Cricetulus griseus: one gene and its partners. The protein of the gene in region 3 interacts with the protein of the main gene of each other region in a pairwise test. Links are inferred from orthologs where the notes say so. Each region holds a gene or a part of one and is shown on either strand. Other genes may lie near its edges.

Region 1 (7,326 bases), on a different chromosome or scaffold from region 3:
AAGTAAAAGAACTTCTATGAGTTTAAGAACAAACACAAGGGAAGGCCAGGAGGTCAAGTAAGGATGAAGAGTCAAGGGACCTTCTTTCAGGGCCTAAGAGATGGTGCCTGCTGCTCCTGTGTGTGGGAGTGAGGGCTGCTGAACTGGAGGGCTCTTTTCTATGGTTCTTCAAGTGTCTGAAGTCTGTCCGTAGGACCTCTCTACTTTAGTAGCTTCCCTTCTTTGTGCAGTAGGGTCCTCTACTGGCCATACTTAGCTTTGCAGTCTGTGGGCTGATAGTCTGTCATCACTTTCCCTCCCCAGATCCTGGCTTCACAAATGGATGTCTCCAAGGCACCGGGAGTATGGAAGCAACCAAGATACCATGTTCTTTGACTCTGTATTTTCACTCATTTTGCTGTGGGAGCTTGCCTGCTGGAGCTTCAGTCTCCAGGTTTTGCAGCAATACTGCTACCTAGATAGATAGCATCTGTGTCCACCTGCTGACCACAGGCATAGGCTACACAACTCCAGGTTTATTTTCAGTTGATGTGATCGGATCCTTGCAACCAGGGCAGGACTTTTGTCCTGTGCACTGTACTGCCCTAACTTCTGTTTCTTGTACTGTTAGCTGTCAGCATGTAGAGAGCACCCCCCCACCCCCATTCTACATAGCCTCCTCCCAGGGTTGTCTGTCATTATTGAACCAAATCATAGCTAACTAAACTTGGGCTCGCCATTGTGTGGTTGTTCTCCATGCTCAGGCTTCCAGTGTAGTTCAGTTCCCTGTCAAGACGGTGCCTGGATCCTGCCTACTGAGTCACAGAGTGACAGAAATGGGAGTCCCCTCTACTGCAGATCTGTCTGCTGGAGGAACCAGGGTCTCATTAAAGCCCACAACTGGGTCTGAGAGCTGTGGGCTTCCCCGGAGGTAGTGCTGCTGCTGGTCTCTTCACCAGGACTGACCCTCTTACCTGACATAACCTCTTGCCACTGAGTCACACATATGCTTGGGTTGGCTTTTCTCTCACTAGACCTTTTTGACATGCTTTCATACTTCCTTTGTGGGTTTCTGAATTGCTCCCCATCTTTATCTTTAGAATATAGACTACTTTTCTTCTCACTCTTCTTTGATGCGTCAGAGACAGCTTTGGGTCTACTGTCTACCGCAGAGCCTGTTGTGACCTTTTTGTCTCTGATTTTGCTTTAGGTTTGCTCTGTCAGGGTAGCCGTTCCTACTTGCTTCCCAATTGCACCTACAGGACAAATTACATTGATTTTTAAAAAGATTTATCAGGCAGTGGTGGTGCATGCTTTTAATCCCAACACTGAGGAGGCAGATCTCTTGAGTTTGAGGCCAGCCTGGGTTACTGAATTAGTTACAAGACAACCAAGTATATACAAAAAAATCCTGTCTCAAAAAACCCAAGAGTCTGCTCATTAAGACTTATTTCTAATTATGTGTGTTTATGTCTGTATTTGGGTATATGTATATGTGAGTGTGATTATAAGATGCAATCTTGTTTTCTTATGCTGCTGGGTTTCAGTTTGTTAGTATTTTTGAGTATTCAGAAAAGTCATTGGTCTCTAATTTTTTGATGTTGCAGTCTGGCTCTGGTGTTAGCTTAATACTAGCCCAAGAGCAGGAGATAGTCATCCCTCATGCTTTAGTTTTAAAATTTGTGAAACCTGATGTTAATTATTCTTTAAAAAAATGTTTTGCTGAATTATCAATATAGTCATCTGGTGTTAGGGATAAAGTCCCTATCAGTTTTAGTTCTGCCCAAATTGAAAAAAAGAAAAAAAAAAAAAAAAAAAAAAAAAAAAGGTTTTCCTTTATGTATGTCTGAGTCTGCACTTGTCTGTGCAGGTGCCCGCAGAGGCTAGAAAAGGGCACCAGAACCGTTTGGAGCTTGAGTTACGAGTGGTTTTGAGGTACCAGTGACATGGGTGTTAGGAACCAAACCTGAGTTCTCTGCAAGAGCAGTTATGTGTGCTCTTAACCATTGAGCCATCTCTCTAGATACCTACTCAAATTTTTATTTCTTCTTAGGTACTTTTTTAGTTGGTCTTTCTAGGAATTTGTTTTTTAAAATTTATTGGTATAGAGATGTTCATAATCAGCATTTCAATTTTACTTGAATCTTTTCTGCTATGTCTTTCCTCTCAACTGCTCAGAACAGGTGTGTTGCTTTCAAAGAACTAGATTTTTATGTATTTTAAAAATTAGATCCACCTCAGTTTACATATACACATCTTGTCTGAATGTATGTATGTGCACATGTGTGCTTGGAGCCCATGGAGGTCAGCAGGTGGCATTAGATGCCCCCGGAACTGGAGCTAGTGCATGGCTGTGACCACCATGTGGGTGCTAGGATTCCAACACAAGTGCTCTTAACTGCTGAGCCAACCCCTTTATGTCATTTTCAATTTGTTAATGTTTGTTCTACCTTTCCCCCCTTCTTTCCTGCTTTACATTGTTTCCAAACCCCAAGCCACCCTTTTAAATTCAACTTGTATTTACTGGAATTATGTGAATATGTTACATGACAACTTGCAGGAACCATTTCCCTCCTTCCAAGTGGATCCTGGGGATTGAACTCAGGTCCTTAAGTTTTGTGGTCAGTGCCTTTCTACACTGAACCATCTCATTAGACGCCACACTTGCTGTTCTTACCAAAACTTATTTATTTCTGGGCACCAAACCTAAGAATTTGTTCGCCACTGAAGATCAATCTTTCTTCAAGACTTCTTTTTTTTTGTTTGTGTTGCTGTGTGCTCTTACCAAATACAGTCATTTCCAGAGTCACACTTTTAAAAAATAACTTTTACCTATGGTAAAACTGTTTCACTGAGCAGCCATTGGAGTTCCATATGCTGCCACTCAAGAACTGTCTCTTAGTTATTTTTTAGTGCATGTCTCAGCATATGAGCAATGAGGATCCTTTACATAAGGCAATCAATGTGTTTATAATCTGAGTTTTCTGCTGGTATCAGCACATTCAACATGCGGCATCCAGAATACATGGGCAAATCTTTAATGGTTCCTGAAACACATTCCACCAATGACGTGAGAAATCACTGACAAGCGCATGTACACCAGTAAATGCCACCCAATCTTTTCCATAGACAGCACTCAGTAAATCCTGGAATAGGTGGCTGAATTTCTGTTTCTAATTCAGTAGATTAAAAACACAAGTGTGAGTGGTATAAAGATAGAAGAATTATGTTATGATAAACTCAATCACAAAAATAGAGAATCCAGACCCTTTCCAGCTAACTTATATTACCTGTTTCTCAAGTTACACACGGTGGCCAAAGACAAAATAGTAATTATGATGCCCTTCCATATGGTGAAGTAGTGTAAACGCTAGGATTCAAATATTAGATGGTCAATGGGCCTAAATCAAGTGACTTTAGAAACAACATTTAACATTGAAGTAAGCAGACAGACAGACAGACAGACAGGTGGTTTACAAGTATGGCACAGTCTAGTCATCATCAGAATCTGAATCGTATTTCTTTCCTTGGATAGTTTTCTTTTCCAGCTTTGTGAAGTTTGTCCCAAATTTCTTTTGGCTCTGAAACGGTGGCTCCATTAAATTTCCACTAAAAGTGAAACAAAGTTCAAGAGCATTTATTTTTTATGATTTAATACCCTTGGGATGCTAGACTGTAAAATGCATTAATATTAAAGATTAATAGTTCACACCTCACTTAACTGTATTAGATCAACATTTGAGTTTCTTGTGTATCATGATCATTATCATAAACAATTTGGGGGTGATGAGATGGAGCCTCACCATTCCGAAGCAGATAGGGAAGAGTGTTTTGGAAGCACTGACCCTGTGCTGAACCCGTACTAATGATAATGACAGGCTACACTGCTGTGTTTGTGCTCTTGCTGGGACTCTTCCTGTGTGGCACCCCAATGTTTACATTTCTACACACACTGGTAAAACCCATGGAATGCACTATTGTCAGCCTGGAATTGGCATAAAACTTAATTTTCTTTTTTTTAAAATCCTTTCAATGATGCTAGAGAAATAAATGATCAGATAGTTTTGTGTATGTGTCTGGGGAACCTGGCATCCAGATGTTAGTTTTGGAACATCATTTGCTAGGAAGGTATGGTGCCACATGCCTGTCATTCCAGTTGCCAGGAGACTGAAGTTGAAGGACTGTGAGTTTGAGAACTATTTGGACTATATAGTGAGAGCCTGCCCTAAATAAACAGCAAATAAATCAGTCAATAAATGAAAAAAAGGAAAGAAGAAACTACCATTTGCCACTGACAGTAAGCACAACTTCTTAGAAATACAGCTTATTTTAGAGAGAGAATACAATATAAGCTTTCCTAAAGCACTTTGCTTGGATCACAGAGGGAGGGTTCGAAGGATAACAGAGTCTTACTGACTACAACCCACAGAATAAAATCATTCATAGCCCAGACTAATCACTAAATGGACAAATAAATAAATACAAATTATACAAAAGTTCCTTATCAAATTACTACCTGACATGGTAGTATTCAACCTAGTGCCATAGCACTAAAGAGAGACAAACCATCTGATGGTGCACTAAGAATGCAGGCACTGACTCCCTCCCGTAGCAACCAGTCCTGATACAAAGACCTGAGTCTCATGCTGAGATACACACATAGACCCGAACTATGGAACACCTGAGAAATTAATTAGCTTATACTTGAAAAGTATAAACTTGAAAAGTATAACCTTGAAAAGTAATTTAGAAATTGTTACAGAAACTAAATGCAATAACTAAGTGTGACACATTTTTCAGACATGGAGAATAAAAGGATGGTGGTACATTTGAGTAGGTTCTATAAACTACATCACTGCTATTTTAGTAACTGAACTGGGTTCAGGAAAATGTCCTTATTCTTAGGAAATATACATTCAGAAATAAAGAAGTATAGTCATATCGTTCTGAAGACACTTTGTTATGTATCTGGCATAAACATTTAAAATGTGGGCATATAGTAAAGACTATGTAAGAATTCCTTTTGCTAGTTTGCAACTTAATTGAAATCTGAAATCGAAGTTGGGCATGGTGGATCCCATCTGTAATCCCAGCACTTGGGAGGCTGAGGCAGGGGGCTTAACATTACTGGACTGTAGAGTCAGACCTTGTCTCAAAAGACAACAAACAAAAGAAAAAAAAGTCTGAAATAATTTCAAAATGTAACATTTTGTTGAACAAATGTTAATGTATGTTAATATTAACAAAAAGAAATGGACTTCCATAGTACAGGACGATTCATTCATGTGTAGTGGGGACTCAGAGCAGTGAGGGGAAGCAGAGGAGAGAAAAAGATGAGATTTTCTGCTTTGAAAGACACAATTTTCCTTGTCTGTCTTTCTCTTTCCCTTTTTTCTTTTTAAAGCAAAAATAGGCACAAAACACAGGTGGCACTTTCAATTTGGAAGGGACAAAGCCATGCTCAAAAAATGGAAAATGGATTTTAGACTGTCCCACAAATAAGACCATTCTCCAGTTATGGGAACCTTTTGTATTTTCAGATTGGGCATGTGACATATACATGCCTATAAAAAAAGCCTGTATTTTAGCATGGTTTTCGGGACTAGGATTATTGCTGTGGTGTGGTAGTGAGGCACACAGCTAATTTATATAAGGTTTCACCTCATACTGCAAACATGAAATTACAAAAGTGTATGACCTCTGTAGCAGTATGTTTTATATTTTAATTTCATCACAAAGAACCACTTAAGTCAGTCATAAGTTGTGGAGGTAAGGCTTAGGGTATAACTCAGTGACAGAGAACTTGCCTAGCATGTGCAAGGCTCTGTGTTGAATCTCTAACACCATAAAAAACAACCTCCCACCCCCTAAAGGTAATCTGTTCTGGAATGTCACTTTGGGTTTCCAAAATTAGTTTCAGTAACATTTCTTATGTTGAAATCTTCTAGGCTGCCTCCAAACCTCAATTTTTATCTGTAAATTTGGTTTCGCTATAAGATCACATTGTTCTATGCCTTAAGAAATGGGCTTTTCCCAAGCTGTCTACATCTTAGCCAACAGGATTTAATCTCATAAAATAAAACAAAATAAACGTTCACATACAAAATAAAGAAATAAATCTCAAAACTACCACTTATTTTTTGGTTTGTTTTTGCAATAGGTTACCTGTAATTGATAACATCAGAACAACCAAGTCTCCACTCTAAAGTTTCCGTATTGAAGTCATCTGTATTTCCTAGGTCGGTGAATCCGACAACATAGTCTTGCGTCTTGCCGTCTCTCAGGAGTGCTAGTGTGGGGATGACTTTGATCCGAAGTCTCTCACAGAGGAATGGTGCCTTTTCCACATTTAGCTTCAAAAACTTGGTTTCAAGATGTTTTTTGGCCAGTATTGCCAAATGTCTGTCTAGTATTTTACACCTGTAAGTTAACAGCAGAAAGGTAAAACCTAAAGGGAGTTGACAGAATTCACAAGAGGCAAAAATTCAGCTGGTGTCAATTAAAAACTGGAATCACCAGAGCTGGGCAGTGTTGCCTCACAACTTTAATCCCAGTACTCAGGAAGCAAAGGCAGGCCACAAAAGCAGGCTAATCTTTGAGTTGGAGGCCAGCATAGTCTACAGAGCAAATTCTAGGATAGTCAGGGCTAAGCAGACAAACACTATCTTGAAAAACCAAAAACCAAAACCTCCAAAAAAACTGGAGTCACCAAGAACTCCCTGAATCATGTAACTCTATCAGGAAGCTTATCTGTTAAAGGTTATATAATACTCTTTAAGTATGGCTGTGTGAGCCAGGCAGTAGAGACGAATGCCTTTAACCCCAGCACTCGGGAGGCAGAGGCAGGTGGATCTCTGTGAGTTCGAGGTCAGCCTAGTCTACAGAGCTAGTTCCAGGACAGTTAGGGCTGTTACACAGAGAAACCCTGTCTCCAAAAATCAAAAATAAATAAATAAATAAATATATATGGCTAGTGTGGCCCTTAATAAATGAGTGATATCAGTGTGATTCCAACTTTCCAGTGCTAGAGACTGAACACAATAAACTTCACTTTCAGCTCTGTAGTGATTTTTATTGAACCATCTACTGAAGAGAAAGTGACATTTTCTTTAAATTAAAAATCTATTTTAAACAAACCAACCTCCTAGTGTTTTTGAAGCACAAGTATTCATTATAGTCAAATTTTATTTATTTATTTTGTTTTTTTGAGATAGGGTTTAATCAGATTTCAATAATCAGATTTCAGAGCTAAGACATGGTGGTAATGGCACACACCTTTAATCCCAGCAACTGGGAGGCAGGGACAGTCAGATCTCTTGAGTTCTAGGGCAGTCTGGTCTACATAGT
Region 2 (6,762 bases), on a different chromosome or scaffold from region 3:
TGCACCCAAATGGTGACTTCTGGGTATTGAATGGTTGTTTGTTTCCTCTAGGGAAGAGACAGCAAGGCAGGGGACAGATGGTTTTTTGTTGCTGCCATGGGCACTACACTCTTTGCAGTGTACAAAAGAGACTTGTTTTCTTGAGAAATAAAACAAGAAGCTAAACAGGAATGCTGGGAAAGAAAACCTCTGGGACATCCCCAAAACATCTTCTGTTTTCATGCCTGCCAGGGTGTGGCCCCCAATGAAGTAGTTGCTGACAGTGGTCCTTTGACAAACAGTGACTGTTTACCTTCCCCAAGGTTTCCCCAATAGTGTGGATTCAGAATTGCTGGCTATGCCTGAGGGCATTCATTGCCAATTCATTGATGCATATTTGCCTAAGTTTCTTTTTATTACTAATTTTTATTTAAATTAAAAACAATCTTATTTTACATACCAATCCCATCCTCCTATGCCTCCCACCAACACCCCATCCCATCCCCCATTCACTCTCCAGAGAAGGTTAGGCCTTCCATAGGGGGTCATCAAAGTCTGTCACATCTTTTGCAGCAGGACCTAGGCCCTCCCCCATGTATCTAGGCTGATAAGAGTATCCCTCCATAGGGTTATATACTGGTTCCACTTCCAGAGGCCCCATAGACTGCCCAGGCCTCCTAACTGACACCCATGCTCAGGGGGACTGGTTTTGTCTTATGCTGGTTCCCCAGCTGTCAGTCTGGGATCCATGAGGTCCTCCTTGTTCACGTCAGCTGTTTCTGTGGGTTTCCCCAGCATGGTCTTGACTCTCTTGCTCATCACTCTTCCCTCTCTACAACTGGATTCCAGGAGTTCAGCTCAATGCTTACCTGTGGGTGTCTGCTTCTGCTTCCATCAGCTTAGATGAAGGCTCTAGGATAGCATTTAAAGTAGTCATCAATCTCATTATAGAGGAAGGACATTTAAGGTCATCCTTGTGGATCTCTGTATAGCTCCCTAGTGCCAGATTTCTCTTTAAAACTTTAAGTTTTGTTCATGGTGATAGATATGGATTTTTCTGCAATTTTCTACATGTCAGCATCCATTTATGCCAGCACCATTTGTTAAATATGCTTTCTTTTTTCCATTGTATAATTTTAGCTTCTTTTTCAAAAATCAGGTGATCATAGGTGTGTAGATTAATATCAGGTCTTCAATTCAATTCCATTGGTCAACCTGTACGGTTTTTTTGTTTCAATGAAATTCTCTCAACTTTATATGGAAAAATAAAAAACCCAGGATAGCCAAACAACCCTGTACAATATAGGAACTTCTGGAGGCATTACCACCCTTGACTTCAAGCTCTATTCTAGAGCTATAGTAATGAAAACAGCTGTCTAAGTTTCTTAGTCCCTCCTCCAATCCAGCTATGGCAGGATTTTAAATCTTAACTCTTAATTATGGCCCATGACCTCTATAATAGAGGAACATACCATATCCTGTGGTTTATGAGAGTTTCTAGCTTTCTCACTTACACTGAGAAAGGTAACTTCTGTCCTCCACTGAGAAAGCTTTTTATTTTGTTTAATTTTCATTCATGTCAATAAGACTAAATTGTATCTTGCTCCTCTTTCTAATCTTCATGTCTACCTGATAGTAGTTAAGGAAACATGTGACTTACCAAGTGAATATTGAATAGGTAGCTATCCCTGGATTCCAGGCCTGGAAATAGCAAGGCTTATAGTTAAGAGCTTGGTGGCCAGCACAAATGAAAACAATAAAAACCAAGAGCACTCAGCCAGGTGAATGAGAACTCTGTAAGCCTCAGATCCCTGTGAATGAACTGAAGCACACATAATGTACTTATGTTCGCAATCTACTAAACATACTGAAGTGGCTTTCCTAGTATGTTTCTTTATTGCTGTGAAAAAATACTCTACTTGGGGAAGAGACACTTGATGTGGGCTACAGATTAAAATCCACACCATTGAGGAAATCCAAGGCAGGAACTTAGAGACAGGAACCAAAGCTGAAATCATGGAAGAGTACTGCTTACTGGTTTACTGCCACTAGCTTCCTTAGTTACCTTTGTTTTCCTTTTATTTTTGACATTATAATATAATCATACCATTTCCCCTTTCCTCCCTCCAAACTCCTCTTCTTCTATATACCTCTCCACTCATTGATTTCTTCAAATTTACGTCTCCCTTTTCCATTAGTTTTTGATATACGTGTGTGTGTGTGTGTGTGTGTGTGTGTGTGTGTGTGTGTGTGTGTGTGTATCAGTTTGTATAATGTTACTGTGATAGTATATGATTATATGTATGATTTTAGGGATAACCATTTGGTATTGGATAACTAATTGGTATATATCCCCTCGGGAAGTTCATTTCTCCCCAGCTCTCCTTCATTGCCTATAGTTCTTTGTATAGGGCTGAGGTCTAGCAGTCATTCCAGTGTTGGCATGTTTATTTTTTTCCTTGTTCAGCTAGGCAGTTATGTTGGTGAGACTTTATGGGTCTAACTTCTGACATTGCTAGGAAACAAGATCTCACAGCAAACTGTCTGAATCCTCCAGATCTTCGAATTTCTCCACTTTCTCTTCCGTAGTGTTCCCTGAGCCTTAGGAGTTATTTTATAGATATATCCATTAGGACTGGACTCCACAACTTGTATTTTGATTGGCGCCTTAGGAGTTATTTTATAGATATATCCATTGGGACTGGACTCCACAACTTGTATTTTGATTGGCTGTGGTTCTGTGATGGTCTTCATCTGTTGCAAAGAGAAGTTTTCTTGATGAGAGTGGATTACATTTGCCTTTGGGTTATAAGAATAACCAAGGGAAATAGCCACAGGTGTAGGTTTGGGGAGTCTCTTGGAGTACACTGACCAACAACACCAAAAGGGGATTCTTATACCTGGTGTTGAGTTTTTATTAGATGGTCTTTGCCTCTTGTAGGCCCAGGCCTCATTTTCAGCCCAGTTGAGAAAATTTCATCTAAACTATATGTGCATATTTATACACAGTTTCATATATTAATTTTTTTCTAATTTAAAGTCAATAGTGTGATTCCTTTTGACTCATTCAGATATCCTACCCCCTAGAAGGAACCCCTAGAAAGAGTATTCCAAAGCCAAACAAGGAAGTAGTTGGAGGAAGTAGTGGGTACTTACCACAAGGGAAACAGTTAGAGGAGATATGGAAGAATAAATATGCTCCAGGAGGGTACTAGGGGAGGTGGAGTGGTACCTTAAGCTACAGATTCAGCGAGGGGGGGTATCACATTATATTTACTAGCCCTTACACATCTATGTTACAGAACCAAATCTGTTCCTGGGGAATCATTGAGGTTGTTTGGATGAGACAATCTAAGGTTAGTAGTTCCTCCGTTAGTTAGAGCACTTTCCCAAAGAATGAAACAGAGACTAGGGGTAAGGATAGGGAAGCTTTTATTAAAAAGCAGAAGGGTAAACTTTAGATTGTTAACTGAGCACACAGTATCACCAGCTGGGTGTACAGACATATCAGATAGTCAGATGTGTTGAGGTTGGAAACCAGCAGTCTGCCCGGGATATCTTGAGTAGTGAGTGTGGAAACTGTTCCACCTCCTCTGGAGAACACAGGAAGAAAGAACCACATTGATTACTGTTGGATTTGTCTAGAAAGTCAGTTTCAAATGTGTTCTGTGTGGTTTCCATCCTCACGATGGGTGTTTGAGATAGGAGATGGCTAACCAAGTTTGTTAACATGAGTGATATTGTATCTTTTGTTAGCTTTGGACTAGGGAGGCACAGATACTTATTTAATGTGGTTAATTTAAGGCCCCAAGGTGCTCTAATGGTTTACCTTTAACTGAGCTGGGACAGGAAATTTGGGGATTACTTGATGATGTTTTAGTGTCTGAAGGATCTAAACTTCCTCTTTCAGAATATTCCTCCTTTCCCAGTTTCCTTTTTGCATACTCCAACAGTTTGAAGAGGTCAGTCAAACCTCTACCTGGAAAGTATATTTGATATGTTTACCAGTACCCTCTAATTAATGAAAGGTTATAAAGACAGTTTCCAATTAAAACATGTTATTTCTACAATGTTAATTTGACTGTAATTGAGGGGAGTTAAATGTTTCTCAAAATCAGGGCAGGGAGGTGAAACTGCTGTGACAGACATTTCTAGACTGAGGCCTAGTCTGAGCCCATTGGTGCCCAGACACCAATGACATCTCAAAGTCCAAGATGTCATAAAGGTAGCTGCTGACCAATGAGTAGAAACTGGGGATGCAATGAGCAGGGCTGAACATTGTCTCCCGAGAGCCAGTCCTGCTGGTGGGCCAAGCACAGCTTGCCGGAGCCCAAGCCATCAAACCATCATGTCAGGGAAGAAGAACCAAGGAAAGTCTTGCAGTGACAACAAGAAGATGGAAGATCCTTCTTCTAAGCCCGAGGTACAGATTCCTGTGAACTATGTGTACCATCTACTGCAGGAGGAGCAATATACACCCTGCCTAGGCTCTACCACTTCAGATTTCCTCCTCGCCATGCTTGATTACATTACTGACTATATCCTGGAGGTGGTGGGCTCCGAAGCCAACATCAACAGCCAGCAAGACATCCCACAAGACAGAGAGAGGCAAGGGGACAACGACCATGACCATTCTCATGCCTTCAAGAATGCACCTTTCTCTCTGTTTGATGAGATGCCTGGACCCAGAAGGAATGGCTAAAGAATTGGGGACAGAACCCAAGGGTGGGAAGCCTCATGAACTCAGCTAGGACCATGATGGCTAATAGCAGAGGAAACTCCCCTGGTTCCATGAATACTAATAAAGTGTTTAAGTGAAAGTTGGTTGTTCTAATTCTTTTCACTTTGTCTTTCTGAGTTAGAGGTGTCTGCAACATACTAACGAAAGGGTGGAGGATGGAAGTTGTGGTTTGCAATGGGTGTATGAATCAGTGACTTACAGTGAGCACATCTCTGTGGGGGTGGCTTAGGTGGAGGGGTGGAATTGGAAGATGGGAGGAATTGGATGGAGGGAAGGGCAGGGAAGCCATCCTCATTGACTCTGAATACAAAAGAAGCCTTGGAGAAGCTTGGAAATTGGTTGGAGCCTCACTGGCAAGTTTGGCTTTTAGTATGGTAACTTAGAAGACACTGCTGATGACCAGAAATTCTGCTTGGAAGCCTTGTTTTATGGGAGTGAAGGTCTCAGAAGAAAATGCATGCTGGGATATAGATGTTTACAAAGTAGAGTCAGAGATAGGTTGATAAATGGTAGTTTATTGGGGAAAAGTACTCACGCAAAGGAGCATGAGTGACCAGGTTTTCACCTGAGTGGGACCGACCCAGAAATGCTTCCTAGTCAGTTCAGCCAGGCAAAAGAGAGCTCCCTTCTTCTTAAACCCTTGTTATATAACTCTGATCATGCCCAAGTGGGCGTGGTCAGTGGTACCTGTGACCAGGCAGAAGCGGGCGTGGTCAGAGGCACCTTTAATCAGGGTTTCTCCCTACACTGGGAAGGGTTACACATTGCAGGCAGTTTGAACAGAGCAGTTACCTGATGCTGGAGTGATGCTGAAGCCAGATGGAAATACACATTTTAGATGAGGAAAAGTGGTTAAGCATCAGGTTTTAGTAAATGCCTTTCTAGAGAGCCTGTGATCTATAGAAATTAATCACTTTTGGATAGAAAACAAAATCTAGCTTGCCAGATACTGTCCATTTGTCTGTTATCTCAGATCAATTGAAAATGTTATACTCTCTGGAAATACTAGTTAACTTTTTAATATCTAGATAAGGGAACCAAAGTGTTTTGACTTATATTTGACCCTTGATTGAATTGCAGAGTTGAAGACATAAGCTCTATTTCTTTGAACTCTTGTCTTTTCCCAGGCCTAAGGGCTTGCCAACAGGGAATCAAACAAGTCCATCCTCAAATTCCACCTGAGACACTAAACAAAATCTAAGGAATGGTGACTACTTGATCACATAGAACTGTTCACCCAGATTGTTCAATCCACCTACAATGGCTTCTCCCAGATTAAGGCCTTTCTTCTGCAATACTGCCTGAAATTGTGTCAGATGGTGATATTTACTTCTATACTAATTCATAGCTATGGGCCAGAACCCAGACTTTCCACATTAGATAGCTTTTTACTCAGACCTTTGAACAAGGTCTGAGTAAACTGATGGATTCCCTGATGTTCCTCATCTGCTTATGGGGGACATTTCATGTGTAACAGATCTGTCAGTGATCAACAGTTTCCAGAAGGATGTACAAAATGTCAAAGGTGATGCTAGAATCTTAGACACTGGAATGGTATGCTAAAGTGGGATGAACAGTTTTCATTGAAAGCCAAATGTTTGCTGTACTGATAAAGAAAAGTGGGACAATTTCCCTGAAAAGGTAATGTATTCAATAATGTGAGCAGTTTCCTAACATGGGCACTTCTAGACTGGAGGAGGACCAGAGCCCAGGAGGCACCAATGACATCACAAAGCCTGGTGTCACAAAGGCCTCTCCTAACCAATGAGGTGGAGAGATGGGCACTGGGTGGCTATAAAAGGGGGCGTCTTGAGAAACACAGGTCAAAAGAGATCCATCTGCGACTAAATCAAACTCGCCATACCAGCAGGCACTATGGAAGAGAAAAAGCGCAAGGAGACCATCTCCCGTATCACCAGAGGTCAGCTACAATTCTCTCTAGATCGAATAGAACGCTTCTTCCGAGACGGAAACTTCTCTCAACGCCTGAGCGCTTCTGCACCTGTGTTCCTGGCCGGTGTGCTCGAGTTCTTGACATCCAA
Region 3 (8,159 bases):
GAGCTGTGTCTAGTAACAGCCCTCATCCCCAACTCAAGGACCAACACGGAGTAGGTTGAACAAAGAAAGGAGAGTCCACTTCTCCTCTGGGTTATGCTTGTCCTTTTCCCAGCCTTCTCTTTTGTCACCCAGCACAGCACTTTCTATCATGGAAAGGTGACTGTGGGTACACAATTATCACTCAGCTGTGAGCACAGGGTGGCAGATAAATGACTTCCTATTCGTGTCTCCTGGCACCCACGGCTCAGTGCAGTTTCCTGATTGGAAGAATTGTGAGGAGGGAAGCTCCCTCCTCCAGTCCTTATTCTGTGGTCCATATGGTTAAAGCAGACACCTAACTGAGGAGCATGAGGATAAGAGCAAGTGAGGGCCCAGAAACAGAGAGATGATAAGGCACTGAGTAAGTCTTCTATTCACTGGGTGTTTCCATGTGTTTGACACACACACACACACAACACACACACACACCTACTGCCAGCTTGAAGCGTGTGTTTTCCCAAATCAAATCCACCCTCCTGCCCAAGCCAATGGTTCAGACCTTTACTGTCTCACTCCTGAATTACTGTCATGGGGTTTGGGGATAATGTGGTTTCCTTGTCTGTTTCCAAGTCCCTCCACGCCCAGTTGGGCCTCTTGCATTTATAGACTTGTTTTCAGCCACACCCCCTCACCAGAACCCTGAGATCCACACAAACTGATCCATCTTCTCACCTCTTCATGTCCTCATTCTGCTGGTTCCCCAAGACCTGATCCAGCACCTGTCCCTGCCCCAGCCCTCCACAGAGACTTAGCCTTCAGTGACTTTGCTATTTGTTTGCAAGTGATCCATGTTGTCCTTGTTTGGTTTTGTTTTTGTTTTTGTATGAGACAGTCCCCCAACTAGCCCAGACTAGCTTAGAATTGGCAGTCCTCCTGCCTTGGGCTCTCCCAGTATGGAATTAAAGGTGTGTGCCACCATGGCCACCCATCTCATTGGCTGTGGCATTAACAGCTTTGTAATGGAGCACAGCAGCAGGGTCCAGGTTCACCTACTAGGCAGCAGGGTTCTGCGAGCCATCTTAGAACAAGTCCTTTCTGCTCCCACTCCAGAGGAAGAAGACAGATTGTTTAGGGTAAGTCAGATTGGGTCCCACAAGGACAAAAGGTACCATTTTTAGGTTTCCATGGCAGCCGTGACCCACACACACACACACACACACACACACACACACACACACACACACACTTTTTTTTTCAGGGCTCACAGGACTGGAGTATAAGCTGAAGCAAGGTAAATTGTTTGTTTTTTCTTTTTGAGGGGGTGGGAAGCATGCTAAATGAAGAGATTATTGCTGGCCAGGCTTAGAACTCACACACTGTGCTACACTTTGTAGCCTATGAATGAAGTCAAGAAATGAATTAAGGCCTCTCGCTGTCCCAATTTACTGGGGGCTTTTTTATTGTCCAGATTGTTCCCTTCCCATTTGTCCTCTCCCTCAAAGGACAGCGGCATTTTCTTGGCTCTCTCTATGGCTTCAGGGAGGACAGAAAGCTAGTCCTCCAAACCCCGCACAGCTCTTCCCTCCACTATGACGTGAGTCCTCCCCGAGTCCTCTCCACCAGCACACTCTACTTCCCCTTACTGTCCCGACGGTCATCATAACGCATCCACCTCCTGCTCCACTACAAAGGGGACAGCAGGGTGGTTCACACTTTGTATGCAGGGTCCTGGGGGAAACCCTGACCCATGGGTTAGCTTTTGAGTTCCTATTAGAATAGGTTATCATGTGACATCCACAGGAAGGGGATTTGGGAATCAGAGGTGGGGTGAAAAAGGTGGCCAGGGGCCTGCAGCCTGCCCTTAGAACTGTCCTCCCTGGCCACCAAAGCCTCTACTGAGGTAACCACTGACAGATGCATCTGGAGATTAAATGGAACACCCCACACGTACACCTGTCATTCTAGACTTGTATGATGCATGCAGAGGTGATGACTCGGGCAGAAGAACCCAGGCTGGTGGCCCAGGAGAGACACAAACAATATAAAGGGCTATTCTCCTCACCACCCCAACTACAGAGAGGAGTCAAGATGAGGGCAGAAGACACCATTGAGGGGAAAGCGTGGAGAGACGATTGACAGTGACCGAGGAGGGAGACAGAAGGCTGACTAGCTCTTAACTGGCGGGGGAGATGGCAATGTAGAGGCTGTGAGTTCTAATCCTCACTCAACACTGACTTGCCCTCTTACTTAAGAACACCCCTTATTTAAGAAGTCCTCAAGTTCTCTTGTCTCAATCTATGCCCAACTACACAAGACCTAAGAGGACACCTAAGGTCAAACCTGCTGTGGAAACTCAGAAGTTGAATCCATTTGCCCTTCTGAGTTTCTGTCTTTTGCCTCCGTGGACCCTAGGAATTCACACACACATACACACGCCCCAAATTTGGAGTGGTCCTGCCGTGGTGGTAGGTCGTTAGGGGGGTCTCATAGGATGATGCAGTATGGTTTACAGTGCTCCCAAGCAGCACAGAGAAGATTAGATGGGCTCTGGAGGCCCCTTCTAGCCCAAAGCAACCCTTGTCTTGTGTTCTCCTGCCCTGTCCACCAGCTGCCTTGGACCATAGAGGAGAGCAGGCAGGCGGCCCGGATAGGAGTAATTGAAAGGAGCAGATGAGAGCGGGAATGCATCCACCCCCACCTTCCCTGCCCCACAGGGGCTGTGGAGAAATGAAAACTAATCAAATTACAGCCGACGGCCTCCCGACCCGTGCACAGGAGCCGCCTGGGCCAGGGGCAGGCTGGCAGGGTGGGGTGGGGGCAAAAGGAGAGGGAAGGGGAATCACATGTAATCCACTGTAAACGTCTTGATGTGCAGCAACAGCTTAGAGGGGGGCTCAGGTTTCTGTGGCGTTGGCTATATTTATCTCTGGGTCCATGCCAGCAGGGAGGGTTTAAATGGCACCCAGCAGTTGGCGTGAGGGGCTGCAGGAGCTTGGGGACCAGTGGCAGGAACAAGTCTTTTCCGACCCGATGGAGCTTTATGAGACATCCCCCTATTTCTACCAGGAGCCCCACTTCTATGATGGGGAAAACTACCTGCCTGTCCACCTCCAGGGCTTCGAGCCCCCAGGCTATGAGAGAACTGAGCTTAGCTTGAGTCCGGAAGCCCGAGGGCCCCTGGAAGAAAAGGGACTGGGGACCCCTGAGCACTGTCCAGGCCAGTGCCTGCCGTGGGCGTGTAAGGTGTGTAAGAGGAAGTCGGTGTCTGTGGACCGGCGGAGGGCAGCCACACTGAGAGAGAAGCGCAGGCTCAAGAAAGTGAACGAGGCCTTCGAGGCCCTGAAGAGGAGCACCCTGCTCAACCCCAACCAGCGACTGCCTAAGGTGGAAATCCTGCGCAGTGCCATCCAGTACATTGAGCGCCTACAGGCCTTGCTCAGCTCCCTCAACCAGGAGGAGAGAGATCTCCGCTACCGAGGCGGGGGCGGGCCCCAGCCCGTGGTAAGTGGCTGGTGCACCAGTCCTAGGGATAGGGCCAGAGGGAGGTGCCTGGTCAGCCTCGGGCCACCAGAGCTGGAACAGGTGCAAACCAAGGCCCCGGGGAATCCCAAGACCCCTTTCCTTGTCAGCTAGGCTGTCCACAGACCTTCTGTGCTCATTCTGTTTCCAGACCAGACAAAGGCAGTGGATAGTAAATACAGACGGGGCGGGGTGGACTGCACAAGAGCACAGAAGGGGCCCAGAAACAGGCCTGCAGTAAGGGCTTAGGGGAGCCCAGGGGAAGGGGAACGCTGATTTCCATGCTCCAGTCAGCACCTAAAAGGCCAGACCAAGTGGCGAAAGATATCTGCTTTGTCCCAAACCCACGACCTCCATGGCTGAGCTGACAAAACACATTACAACTGCTCCGAGGTCATCATAACAAAGTACTCTGGCTTATCACCTTACCCACAAAGTGAAGACAGATTCCCATCCTAGAAGCCAGGGAAGACCTAGAAAGTGGGGTATCTATGGCGGACATTCTAGAGTGGGTAACATACCCTGTAACCCAGGCAAAGATATATTATACCTGAGGATGGCAGTAGACTTGACCTTGGATCTTGGCCTTGTCTTACAGGTGCCCAGTGAATGCAACTCCCACAGCGCCTCCTGCAGTCCAGAGTGGGGCAGTGCACTGGAGTTCGGTCACAACCCTGGAGGTAAGTGTGAATCCTGACCTTGTTAACCATGGCTCAAATCACTTAGTCCCTAACTAGGCTGGGCTACTCCCTTACCTTATTCCATGTTCCAGTCATCTTCCTGTGGCCCCAAATGGTGAGCTGAAGGCCCTGTGCCTCCCTGTAGCCTTGATCAACTAAGGAGTAGTCACAGCCCCAACAGCATCCCAGCTGGTGTCTGGTGGCTGACCTCAGGGAGAAGTGCCTATCCCTGCCCCAGGGGTCCCTGGGAATTGCTGAGTCAGTGTTGCAAAACTGGGCCCAGTTCCCTAGGATACATTATCCTGGCTTCACCTTGGGATGGCCACTTCTAAAACCTAACTGCAATAGAGGAGTTCAGAGAGGCAGCACACAAGTACACACAAGTGGCTAGGGGGAACTCCTGACTCTTGCTCACCTATCTGTCCTGGAAAACCTGTGTCCTTGCCCAGGAAACACTCCTCTCTTCTTCTTACAGATCACCTGCTTGCAGCTGACCCTCCAGATGCCCACAGCCTGCACTCCCTCACCTCCATCGTGGACAGCATCACAGTGGAGGATATGTCTGTTGCCTTCTCAGATGAAACTCTTCCCAACTGAGATTGCCTGCCAGGCTGGGTGTCCATGTGAGCCCCCAAGGTGGTGTCAAAGGCCACCACTTCTGCCGTAGGGGCCTTTTAAGTGAGATTGTCTTGGTGCCAAAAAAAAACAAAAAACAAAATAAAAAAAAAACAAAACCCAGCCCCAGACTGCCATAGGCCAAACTACCCATTCCCCATTCATATAAGACTAACACCCAGCCCATCGAGGGAATGGATGCCCTCATTTAGCAGAGAGCATCCCCTTCCAAGGAAAGAAAGATGGGGTCCAGAGAACCCCCTTTGTGGATGTCCCCCAATGGGGCAAACTCAGGAGCTTTTTTAAAATCATAATATGCCTCTAATTCCACCCCAAATGAGAGACAGACAGCGTCCTGATCTGGACAAGCAATGCACATCTGTTCAATCTCTTCCTGATGCCAGCGGCTGGGCTGGGCCTGCCCTGAGTTGAGAGAAGGGAGAGGAGCTACCCTGTTCCAAAGTCCCTGGGGGCCAAGCTTTTGCAGTGGATATTGGGAACCTTCCAGCAGTTTGTGTATTGTTTTGTTTTGTTTTGTGTGTTGTTTGTAAAGCTGCCATCTGACCAAGGTCTCCTGTGCTGATGTTGCCAGGGACAGGCAGGGAAGGGGGTGGGGGCTCTTGGGGTGACTTCTTTTGTTAACTAAGCATTGTGTGGTTTTTGCCAATTTTTTTTGTAATCCTTTTGCTAACTTATTTGGATTTCCTTTTTTAAAAAATGAATAAAGACTGGTTGCTAGAAAAGTGTCTGCAATGATGTCTCAGGAAGGGAGGCACTGACAACACTGCACCTTCCCTTTAGGGGTCCATACACACAAGGCATGGAGGGGGGACAACTCAGGACGGATTCATGTGAATGGATACTGTGGTCCTGAGCAGGTCATTAGACACACGAGCCAGGTGATGCATGGCTGGGGAAAGACCAGCTCCTCAGAAATCCTGGGCACACCAAGGCCGGCCTACAAAGCACTCTGTTGTACTTTACTTCAGAGTCATTCACAGTCTACTATGTTCCAACTAATAGCCCAACAGGTCAACTGAGCATGCTCAGACCTAGTGCTCAGCTCACACGTACGTTAGAGGTATAGAGCTGGGTTTGCGGGGCTTTCCTCCCTCAGCTGTCTCCCCCTGTCCACCCCCCGGTCCACATGACCTCAAGCTCTACAGAAAAATAGGAGGTGACTACACAGAGCAAATGAAATCAGACACTGTCACTTCTTCATAGGACAAATAGCATGTCCCCTTACCACCCTCTGCCCTTCCCTCCAGGCACAGGGATACTCCTGTCCCCATCTACAGCTCAGAGATGAGATTGTGCTGAGGGAGCTGGGAGACAAAGAACATTCAGAGGTGAAGCTGTGGTTCTCATCATTTGGGATGCTACTTTTCCAAAGACTGGCTTCCCCAGGGGAGAAGGTGGATGGGAAACTGAGTGCAAAGACAGTGGCTAGAGATTATAGAAGGATTAGCAGAGGAGTTCCAAGAACTTAGAATGCGAATGGACCAAGAACACCGACTTCAACTTTACTAATTCCAGTTGTGTCATGGTGTTCGTCTGGTTTACTGCTGTCCTAACCATTGCAGACAGGGATTCAGTGCATGGTCCATCCAGGGACCTTTATGGGGCCCTTTGGCAACTGACTTGCGGGTGAGAAGGTAGGCCCCATCAAGGAGCCTGTTTGTCTCAAGCAATTGTTCATCCTGGTTTGTGGGATTTTCTTCTTTTTGAGTTTGTGTCATTGAATTACAGTTCCCCAGATAGCCTGAAGAGGGATATAAGTAGAGCCTTAATCTACTGTCCTTGGGATGAAGTAAGTACCTGCATCACCACACCTTACCTCTATACTCAACTTACAAAATACTCGACTATGCAACTAAAAAGGGCTCTTTTGAGATTTATGTCCTCCAGCCCAGCGGGTACCACCGCACTGCCTTCAGGTGTGATGCACCTCTATCTCTGTCTTTCTAGGCCCCTGCAAGGGTCTAGCGCTGGCCAAGAGTAAGGGCACTCAATGAATACCACGGAGCTCATGGTTTCTGGGGTTGCCAGATGTAGTGTTAAAGCCCATTCTTTTCAGTTATTTCAACTGGAAACTGAGATGCATATTCACACTCGAAGAATGGCAATGGTCACCAGGGTCAACTGACCCCTGCACTGGTAGGTGTAATCACAGCTTGCAAGTCCTCAAGTCACAATCCGCCAGTACACCACAGATGTGAATGACTAACCCTGCCACACAGGAACCCAGAACATTTTCACAAAATAAATGCTATTAAGCGTAAGGGTTTCCTTAAATTAACAAATTCTCAATCTTCACAATTAGAATTACAGATAACGCTCACGTTAATGAATAATGAGGTGGAGTTCTTTAGGGAAATTAACTTAAATTCCCTCAATCATGGCAAGTAACTACAATAAATCAAGCTGGGTTAATCAAATGCTGCCTAATAATGGACTTTAAGGAATCCACAAGAATGAAAAGACAAGAATTACTTGAAACTGGCATCCAATTGTTAGTGTGGATATAGGAACTTCCTGATGTTTGGCTAATTGTTATACATTATAGAATGCTGAAAGTGCCATCTGTGCCCTCCAGTAAACATTCTTAGGTGTCTAAGTTCCCAGAAAACTAGGTGGTTGGGGCAACTGATGTGGAAGAACGATGGTAGGAGAGAGGAGTCCCCTCAACTCAGGCATCTGTCCCATGGATGAAATGCCACCTATTATCCCCTAATATGTCATGTCCATGCTCTTTAGTTTCCTGGTTTCTAAGAGATGCCTAAGGGGTGCTAGAGCTCTGATGGGGATGTTCTTCTGTACATATGGTTCTCTTACTGGTTGATGGATAAAACACTGTTTGGCTAACAGAGGCAGGAAGATAGGCAAGAGTAGGAGACAAGGAGAATTCTGGGATAGGTAGGCAGAGAGACTGTGAGGAGATACCAGGAAGATAGGATGTGCCAGGAGTTCTCCGGTAAGATAAGACCACGTAGAAATACATAGATTAGTAGTTATGGGTTAATAATTAAGACAGAGCTAGCCAATAAGAAGCCCTAGCCATTAGCCAACAATTTTATAATTAATATAGCATCTCTGTGTATTCGTTTGGGGTTGAAGCTTCAGGACCTGGTGGGATGAGAAAACTCCAGTTACAGAGCTTCACATGAGATTGGTTAAGAAGGCCCCAGTTCAGGCCTTGATAGGAACATATACCACCACCCTTTGATGACCCTCCCCCGATGCTCTCTCAGCTATGGGTGATCACCCAGACCCAGACTCCTGGTCTCTCACTCTATTTAGAACATTTCCAGAGAGAACAAAGGAAAACAAATTCTTCCCTGTTTTCTCCAAATGCTAAAGAAACAT
Region 4 (8,968 bases), on a different chromosome or scaffold from region 3:
AAAGAGAGACAATTCTAAACGCATTTGAAAATTTCTTCAAAATATACTACTAAGTGAAGAAAGCAGGATGCTATACAGCATGTGTAACAGGGAATATATGTATACCATTGTCATTTACATATAATTAACACAATTAATATCAACATATTTATATATTATGATTTATCCAAATATGCATAAACAAAATCTCAGCTCAGATTTAAATAGTGGTTATTATGATTGGAACTCAGCCCAGAGCAGACATGGCAAAAAGTCATTTTACTCTGTATATGTTTATGATCAAAAAATTTTTGAATCATAAAACATATCACTTATCCAAAAATAAACAAATAAAACTATATAAGAAATGAGTCAACAAACAAACATTGGTGAAATGGTTCCACAGAAATCTGTCAGTGGGATGGTTTTAGAAAGTACACACAATACTAAATTAAAAAATAGTCCCAAATAGGATTCATCTTTTTCTAACTTATTTGACAATTCTATAAAATAACTGAACTAACCATGAACTGGGCAATTGCCTTAATGAAGAAAACTCGGTCTTGTTCCGTCTCAATGTCAGAAGGGATGTCAGTCTGTGGCTCATATCTGTCAGAAAGAATAAGCATGAGACAATTCAAAAGAAAGTCCCTTAAAGTCAGGTGTGGAGGAGCATACCTATAATCTCAGAGTCAGGTGTGGGGGTGCCAGCCTGATCTATATAGTGAAACCCTAACTAAAATATAACAAAGCAAAACAAAGCCACCAAACAAAACAAAAAAGGTCCATTAAAGGGAAACTACGTGATTGAGTATTGCTAACACGAGGTTTTCCAGGCCCCATCCAAGGCAATATGATTAAGCAAAATCTTTAAGAATGAGGCTAAGTGACAGACCACAAGATGACTCAGTGGATAAGCAGGTTTCCAACAAGCCTAGCAATCTGAGTTCAATCTCCAGGACTTACATAGTGCAAGGGGAAAACCAACCAGTTCTCTAACCTCCAGTTGCATGTTGTGGCTAGCATGAACCCATACACATATGTGTATTTACACATGCTTAGTAGGTAAGGGGGTTTGCTGTATAAGCCTAGAAACCTGAGTTCAAACCCCAGAACCTGTATAAAGATGGAAGCAGAGAATCAACTCAACAACCTTGTCCTCTGACCCCCACACTCGAACATGTGTGCCATGATACGAGTGTGGAGATAAATAAAGTGTAAAGAAAAAGAATATGGGATCAGATTACAAACTAAATCCATCTCAAACTTCTAACTTTTATGAAAATAACCAAGATTTTGACTCAGGCTGATAGCCCTTGGCCCAAGATGGACATGTGGACTAAACAATTCACTCTAAGAAGTACCAGAGTTGTTGAAATTACTTGTTTACTGAGAATTCACAAAGGCCCATAAGCCTGTGATTCTCAGCGTGTATTCGTATAGTCTGAAAGATAAGAATAGTTTTTACATTTTAAAAGCAAACAAAAGGGGCTGGAGAGGTGGCTTAACAGTTTAAGGACATAAACTGTTCTTCCAGAAGACCTGTGTTCAGTTCCTAGCACCAATGTCATATGGCTCACAACAGCCTATAGCTACAGAATATTCAACAGACATCTCATGTAGACTTAATTTTATGTGTAACAAAACACACAATATTTATTCTCTGTTTCTTAACACAAAAGTTGCCAATCCTAATCATAAGACTTTTAACACAATGAAAACTCTACATTATTTGCTGTTTTAATTTTTTATTTTTAATTATGTGTGTAAGCATGTGTACATTAGTCCCTGACATCAGAGGTCATCCCAGAGCATCTGTAATATTTCTAACACAGTATATTCTGAGTGTGCAAGAAGGTCCCTGCCATTTTGTGGTGAGGGGCTGAAGAGGAACCTGGCCAGCACTCTAATGAGGATAGTCACTTCCTTCCATGTTCTTTCAACTCTGATGATTTCTTTCTTTCTTTCATTTTTTTTTTTTTTAATTTGAGAGAGGGTCTCGCCCTATGTACCCCTGGCTGGCCTGGAACTTGATATACAGGCCAGGTTGACCCTGAACTCACAGAGATCTACTTGTGCCATCATGTCTGGCAACTCTGGTGAATTTTTACAAGTCACAACTAAGTCCATTCTATGTAGATTGCACTATATTCTTCACTATGCATCACAAAAGGTTCCAGTTCCTAGTTAGCTAATGAATGAAAGTGCATTCTAACCTTTTCACAAGCCACAGAAGCACTTCAGAGACAAGCCCGAAGTTGGGTGAGCGGAAATTCTCCATAGAAATATGTCGTGGGTATCCCAAGGCTCTCATCATCTCTGTGAAATCTGTCCAACATAAAACACAATTCGGTTAGTCCTTGTCAAATGGCAACTCTTTGGAGAGTAGTTAATCTTATTCTCTCTGCTTTCCCTTCTTACTGGGTCTTCCCAACTTAGTAACAGCTTGAGGTACTGAATCCATCAACTCTGTAAGAGGAAAGGCAAGGTGGGGCAGATAAAAAGTTACAGTATCTAGTCCATCACATGAAAAACATCTAAGTTCAATAGAGTAGATTTTTCTTCAGGGAAATAGGGCTTAGGGGATATCTGAGACTTTAATTTCTTTCTGATATCTTTACTATCCCAAATAAAAACTACCTAGCCTCATAAAACATCATTAGAAAAAAAAGTCAATCATTATTTATGGGAGGGCCCAGGGTAGAGTGAAATTCAAGATTTTTTTTTTTTCAGTGAGCACATACAATTTTCATGACATATATTTCAAAGATCAGTTACCTCATATTCAGAGAAATTTTTAAGAAAATGGTTGAACTATAATGCAGTGTTTAGATTTAATGTAAAAACAGACTAGTAAACAGTAATATTGTAAGTTGGGGCACCTGAAAAAAAAAGAAAGAAATTGCTTGAAAGAAAACAGATGAAAACAAAAATGAAGAAACACAATGCTGGGTAGTGGTGGCATACACTTTTTTTTATGCAAACTGCATGAGGCTTTATTGTAGTTGTTTAATGAGCTAACCCCATGTTAGCTCGGGTCTTTCATCCACCCACCATGGCGGATGGCTAGGAAAGACACTTCGAAGCGTCTGGCATACACCTTTTATCGCAGCATTCAGCAGGCAGAGACAGGTGGATCTTCATAAGTTCAAAGCCAGGCTGGTCTACAGAGTGAGTTCCAGGATAGCCAGGGCTATATAGAGAAACCCTGTCTCAGAAAAAGAAAAGAACACAACCAAGCAGAGGCAAGTGGATTTCTGTGGGTTCAAGGCTAATCTGGTTTACAAAGCAAGTTCCAGGACAGCTGAGGCTGTTGTTACACAGAGAAATGCTGTCTCAAAAAATCGAAATGAACACAGTCAACGTTTCTGAGTTCCCACAATATGCTGCGCTCTTGAACATGTTTCCTGGCTGTGCAATGTCTACTCGTGTTTCTTGAAGATGGCCATTCAAAACAACCTGTTGACAATTCTAAATAATCTACTTGGACAATAAAACAGGGTGAACTGCACCAGATCGTGGAGGGAAAAGATGGTAGAAAACAAGTAGCAGTCTCCCCCTCCAGCCAGGCTTTGCCCAAACCTTTCATTCCAGTAAGCAGAAACTATCACGTTCTCCAGTGTTAGGTGGGGACAGTGGGGACATCGTCTTATACATTACACAGTATGCAGTATTTATTTGAGGTAAGCATTCTGAAATACTCTTCTTGGATACTCTTGAGTACATCGCTATTCAATGACCCTAGGAAAGTGCTGGCTTCATAAAAAAGTATGTGGGAAGCCATCATTACAGTGTTTCAAATACCCTCAAATCTCAGAAGACATGACTCACTCGAGGTTGATCTTAGTAGCGGCTACTTTTCTGCAAATGAGGCCAAGACTTTGGGTCACACAGTCCTTCCTGCCACTCTTCCTAGCTGTGTGTACCATGAGAAGCTATACTACTTGCAGTTAAAACCAGAAACAAAAAGTGAACTATGACAGCCTGGCACATAACAGATGTTCTCCAAAGAGTAGTGACTAATATAGATTTTCCACTTTCCCACTCTCCGGCAAAGTTCTTTTCTCAACATTCGGCGTCCAACCTCCAAAGCTGCTCGCTCTAGCTATTACGTCCAAATTACTTTGACCTCTTGTTGCCTACTTCCTCATCTCTGGCAGACACAGGGCACAAGAATTGCCTAGGAGAAAACGAAATAATGCCCACAAAGAGAACAGTATGTGATAGATTATACAACAACAACAACAACAAATCCTCAAAAATGAACAACAACCAACAACAAAAAACTAATAGGAGCATCCAGTCACCTCCTTGGTTTTATTGTTTCTTTCTACAAACTCAAACACAGAAAAAGTCTGCCATTTCCTATGACCTTTCTAATGAGGCTGCGAATGCGGCTGTGACAAATTGAGATAAAATGAAGTAAAATTAAACACATCCAGTTCCTCAGCCGCGAGACACATTCCAAGTGTTCTAGCCACACGCGGCCAGTGACTGACAGAACTTTCCAAAGGTGCTGTAAAGTTCTTTCATTCCCTGGCTAGTCTAGGGCTGGGGACCACCGGCCTGACTGGGCCGAGGGCTCAGGCAGGAGTCCGGTAGGGGAGCTCCGAGTTTCTGGGAAGCCCACGGGAAAGCCGGGTGCAGCCTTACTGCGGAGGTCGCGGAAAGACATGGCGTTTGGGTCCCAAGAGTCCACTGGGGCGCGGCTGCTCGCCTCTTTGGAGTTCGCAGGCCCAGCGCTCGCCGGTCTCTATAGTAACCTGCAGAGCACTTGGATAGCGCGCTGTCGGGGCCAAACAGGACCGGAAGCGATGAGGGCAGTGCGCGCACGCGCATGGCACTGACCGGCAGGTGGCGCCGCGCACCGTTCATTGAGCGCTTTTGGCTCCGGTCCTGTTGCGGCTCTCATTGCCTCATTTCTTTAGAGAGCACTATCACCTTATGTGACAGATCCTCCTTCGTATTTGTAAAAACATAGCTAGACTCTACAGTCGAAGCCGCATTAAGTAGCCATAAAATGATGGGAACGAAGATATGCTACCCTTGGCAGAACAGGAAAGCTGTACCCGGAAGGATTTCGTGTACGTACAACTTGTCAGTCTTCACGACAGGCCGGAAATCAGTTTCCATACCCTTACGCCAGCGGTTGTCCTGGAAACTGTGGTTAAGTCTGAGGCTGGTCGGTAGCGCTGGTATCACACCCGTGTGTGTGTGTGTGTGTGTGTGTGTGTGTGTGTGTGTGTGTGTGTGTGTGTGTGTGTGTGTGTGTGTGTGTGTGTGTGTGTGTGTGTGTGTGTGTGTGTGTGTGTGTGTGTGTGTGTGTGTGTGTGTGTGTGTGTGTGTGTGTGTGTGTGTGCGCGCGCGTGTGCGCGCGCGTGTTTGTGTGTGTGTAGGAGTCAGCCTGGTGTATCACACCCCTGTGTGTGTGTGTGTGTGTGCGCGTGTGTGTAGGAGCCAGCCCAGGCTCAGCAGGGAGGACGACCTCGATAAAAAAGGACTTGGGAGAGAAGAGATGAGCTAAGCCAAGTAGGGTGGGAGAAGAGGAAGGCAAAGCCCCAAGATGGGCAGGCACAGGATGTAAAAGTGTCCCTGACCTGGACATTGTGATACAGACCAGGAGTAAGATGCTTAAGTACTTAACGTGTGGAACAGGGCCACACATTTGTGGCTAGCGCTACATAGGTGACAATGCATTTGGACAGAGAATCGTCTTTGCAACAAATGGTTTTGGAACAATGAGAAGTCTACAGCAAATAAATGGAAACTCCACTATTATCCAGATACAAAAACAATGGTTCATAAACCTAAATGTAAAACATAGATTTTTTTATAATGAAATTTTTTATAATGAAACGTGAAGGTTTTGTGACTGAGTTGATTGCAAAATAGTTGTAGTTTTACATTTCCACCATCAAGGTAAGAGTTCCAGTTTGTCCATATACTTAGGGGGAAAATAATGGGATCATCTACACACTGCCTAACAACTTGTGAGAAAATGGACAATTAGACAAGTGTTACCCAGAACCACCTTCTCAGCATGATTCCAATCTCTCCAGGTTTGTACCCCAAACCCTTTCTCCCAAACACAGATGGGAAAGCCGAGGCCCCCTAAAGGTCACCTCATAGAATGACTTTCCATCGTGCTAGAGCTAAATTTTTGTGTGTCTTGCCCTGAATTTGAAGACCAGTGAATTTACTTTAGGTTTCTAGCCCCTCCCTTTGCCCTCCTCCCACTCTGCCCCTGACCTGATAACATACTCTTCCAAACTAAGGGGTCCAAGAAGACTAGAGTCTTTATTGTGACATCATAAGAACAGTTGCCATGGGAGACCTGCAGACCCACCTCCTAGGCAGGGGAGAGCAGGCCCTGCTGCACACAAGGCCTGGCCACTCCTCCCCCATCATACTGGCCCTCCATGGAAGCCTTGGTCTGTGCATTCTCTGAGCTTCGAATAAGAGAAGGTGCCTGGCTGCAGGGAGGAGCAATAGCAGAGATGACATTCTGTTCTAACCCGGGTCCAAAGCTACTGGGGAGACCCCAGGGACACGAATGCTTGGGAGGGGAGCAACTCCCGATCTAGGCTGTATGACTCTTGTACCCACTTTGCTTATACTGGCACCAGCATACCCTTTGTAGGATAGAGGGCACAAAAAAGGGCTTATAGTGCTGAAAGAGAGCTCAGTGCCAAAAGTCCTAGGCTTCTTAGGGGGGCAGAGAGGAGAAATGGGAATAGACAAGAACTGAGGCTGGATAGCCTGGGGGTGGGGCCTATCATATAAGCTGGTACCTGCATTTTTTTACCCAGATGCTGGGCCCACTGGCCACCACCCTCCTGCTCTCTCTCCTGCAGATGCAGTGAGCTGGGCCCCAGGACGCCCCAGCCACCCTGACACACCACCCAACATCTATGAGGGAGGGCTGGGGGCCCAGCAGCAGCAGGGCCCCGGTGCCCAGGGAAGCAAGCCCAAGAACTTCCGATTGCGTCACCTCCGGAGCCTTGCTCTCTACCTGCCAGGCCACATGCAGCCTGCTGGTCAATGTGGAAGCCACTGGCTAGGCCGGCTCATGGCTGGGGGCAGCCTGCCACGGCCTGAAGGCTCAGCCTGGCCCCTGGACCTGCCACAGGGGACCCTGGGTCCAGGTAACAGCCATTGCTCAACCCTTCTGGAAGCCCAACTGCCCAGGGACAACCTGGGAAATACAGGTGAGCTCTGTTAAGGAAGGACTGCAGACATGAGGGAGACTCACGGGAACTCAGATGGGCCTCTTCCAAACCCCAGCCTCTGCCAAGAACTAGGAAAGGACACAGTGGCCAGGACACACTAAAGTAATGCCATGCTCCAGGGGCCACATCTTGTTGAATTTTTCAATCTGTGTGCCCCACTATTGTTTTCGCACTGAGGATGTACACTCTAAGTCCTAGGAAATATCAGGGGTGGTAGTATGCAACTGGGCCACAGCTGGAGCCTGTTGGGATGAGGAGTGTAAGGCAGAGAAAATCTAGGATTAAGAGTTCTGGGTTCCAATCCTCATTCTGTATTTTGATGGACCTTGGGCAACTCTCCCTCAGTTCATTATACAAATGAAGCGTTCCTAACATTTTCAGCTTGATCCATGATGTCACTTTCTCCCCGCATCCCAATAGTTCTATTAAGGATGTAGCACCAAACACTTCAATTGTCTTGAAGGTTATAAGGTCCAAGGACACCAAGGTGGGGTTTAAGATTGGGTCCCTGAGTGACTTCTCTTTCCTTTTTCCTCAGCTTCCAGTTCCAGCATGGACCCAGCCAAGGGTGTCCCCTCCCAGTCTGGTCCCCATGAGGGCTTGGGACTCAGGCCCAAGAGGTCCTGGAGAGCCTTGGAGGAGACCATGTGTCCCTTGTGCAAGAGAACCCGCTCTGGGGCCTTGGAGAGGACATAAGGATCCAAAGTGCCAGGGCTGGGGACGGTAGGGGAAGGATGGCCGAGGAGGAGGAGGCCAGGTTTACTGAGGAAGGGTTCAGTCCCAGCAGCAGCCCTCCCACTGAGATGGCCCCCATAGTTGCCCAGCACCAGACCTGGGCTAGTCTGGGGAAGGTATGAGGGAGGGAGGAGGAAGTCCCACGGGAGGGACAGAAGAAATGGAAGCATGCCTGTGCCCTTGCAGCCTGCCTAAACTCCGGTCAGCCACTTGTACCTGGGAGGCCAGGCCGAGCAGAGAATCTGGTTCCTGAGAGACCAGGTAGTCCTCAGGTCTAATCTCAGTAAAAGCCAAGGCCTGCACCTTCTTGTCTGTTTGTCATCAAGTCAATCCAGTAAAAACTGCCCTGTATCCATTCAGGCTTTCCTGGGGTACATGGGGAATCATGGGGAGGTTCTGTGGCTGAGGAAGTGCTGAACATGGGTGCTCTAGAAGGCAGACAGGGTCTCATTAGGCCTGAAAACAGAGCATGGCATTCCAGGGACAAAGGGATGAAAAGTGGGTTTGGTTTAAACAGAGAACCAGGAGGGGACCAACCAAGGCAGGTGTGTTGGCCTGGACCTCACACTGCCCCACCGAGGAATTAGATGAATTTATGGCCCCATAGGAACCCATCAGCATTGCCACAGACCCCCCCCCCCCCCCGTACCTGGGTGTTGATGACCTTGGGTGTTAATATTTGGGGCTGGATCAAATCTGTTTTGGCCCATTCTGTGCCCTGGGGGATGTTTTGTAACTTCCCAATAATGTCAGCAGTACCCGCCCCCCCCCCCCCAGGCTGTGACCACATAAATTGTCTCCAGACAACATCCACCAGAGAGACACCCACTCTGGTTGGGAGCAGAGCCAGTTTCTCTACTGACCATGTGCCTGCATTACCCTTGGAGCTTTCTCTAAGTTATGATGGTGATGGGGGACAGAAGGGGGGGCAGGAAGAGAATTATAGTTTCCTACTTGGACCAAGTCCTAGCTCAAATCTGAGAGCCAGGTGCAAGTAGGAATCTTTAGGATAATAGCCCAGTTGC

What was found.
Region 1: the proteins of Myog (region 3) and Txndc9 interact in binary tests that used the Homo sapiens proteins (3 or more experiments, as listed by UniProt). The two-hybrid records come from large-scale screens. The link is inferred for Cricetulus griseus from reciprocal best matches to the Homo sapiens genes MYOG and TXNDC9.
Region 2: the proteins of Myog (region 3) and huntingtin-interacting protein M interact in binary tests that used the Homo sapiens proteins (3 or more experiments, as listed by UniProt). The two-hybrid records come from large-scale screens. The link is inferred for Cricetulus griseus from reciprocal best matches to the Homo sapiens genes MYOG and H2AP.
Region 4: the proteins of Myog (region 3) and Cluap1 interact in binary tests that used the Homo sapiens proteins (3 or more experiments, as listed by UniProt). The two-hybrid records come from large-scale screens. The link is inferred for Cricetulus griseus from reciprocal best matches to the Homo sapiens genes MYOG and CLUAP1.

What each region holds. Positions count from the first base shown.
Region 1 is NW_023276807.1:10,264,170-10,271,495, reverse strand, and holds the end of Txndc9 (thioredoxin domain-containing protein 9), read right to left. Parts: intron 6,400-7,326; coding exon 6,145-6,399; intron 3,589-6,144; coding exon 3,471-3,588; 3' UTR 2,650-3,470; downstream 1-2,649. UniProt on the Homo sapiens protein: Significantly diminishes the chaperonin TCP1 complex ATPase activity, thus negatively impacts protein folding, including that of actin or tubulin.
Region 2 is NC_048604.1:115,606,564-115,613,325, forward strand, and holds huntingtin-interacting protein M, read left to right. Parts: upstream 1-4,327; coding exon 4,328-4,681; downstream 4,682-6,762. Other genes in the region: histone H2A-Bbd type 1, read left to right, coding at 6,596-6,762.
Region 3 is NC_048598.1:54,923,788-54,931,946, reverse strand, and holds Myog (myogenin), read left to right. Parts: upstream 1-3,009; coding exon 3,010-3,480; intron 3,481-4,096; coding exon 4,097-4,178; intron 4,179-4,653; coding exon 4,654-4,775; downstream 4,776-8,159. UniProt on the Homo sapiens protein: Acts as a transcriptional activator that promotes transcription of muscle-specific target genes and plays a role in muscle differentiation, cell cycle exit and muscle atrophy.
Region 4 is NC_048600.1:42,740,314-42,749,281, forward strand, and holds the start of Cluap1 (clusterin-associated protein 1), read right to left. Parts: upstream 4,797-8,968; 5' UTR 4,655-4,796; coding exon 4,633-4,654; intron 2,308-4,632; coding exon 2,196-2,307; intron 589-2,195; coding exon 504-588; intron 1-503. Other genes in the region: CUNH16orf90 (uncharacterized protein C16orf90 homolog), read left to right, coding at 5,000-5,063, 6,789-7,187, 7,747-7,904. UniProt on the Homo sapiens protein: Required for cilia biogenesis. Appears to function within the multiple intraflagellar transport complex B (IFT-B). Key regulator of hedgehog signaling.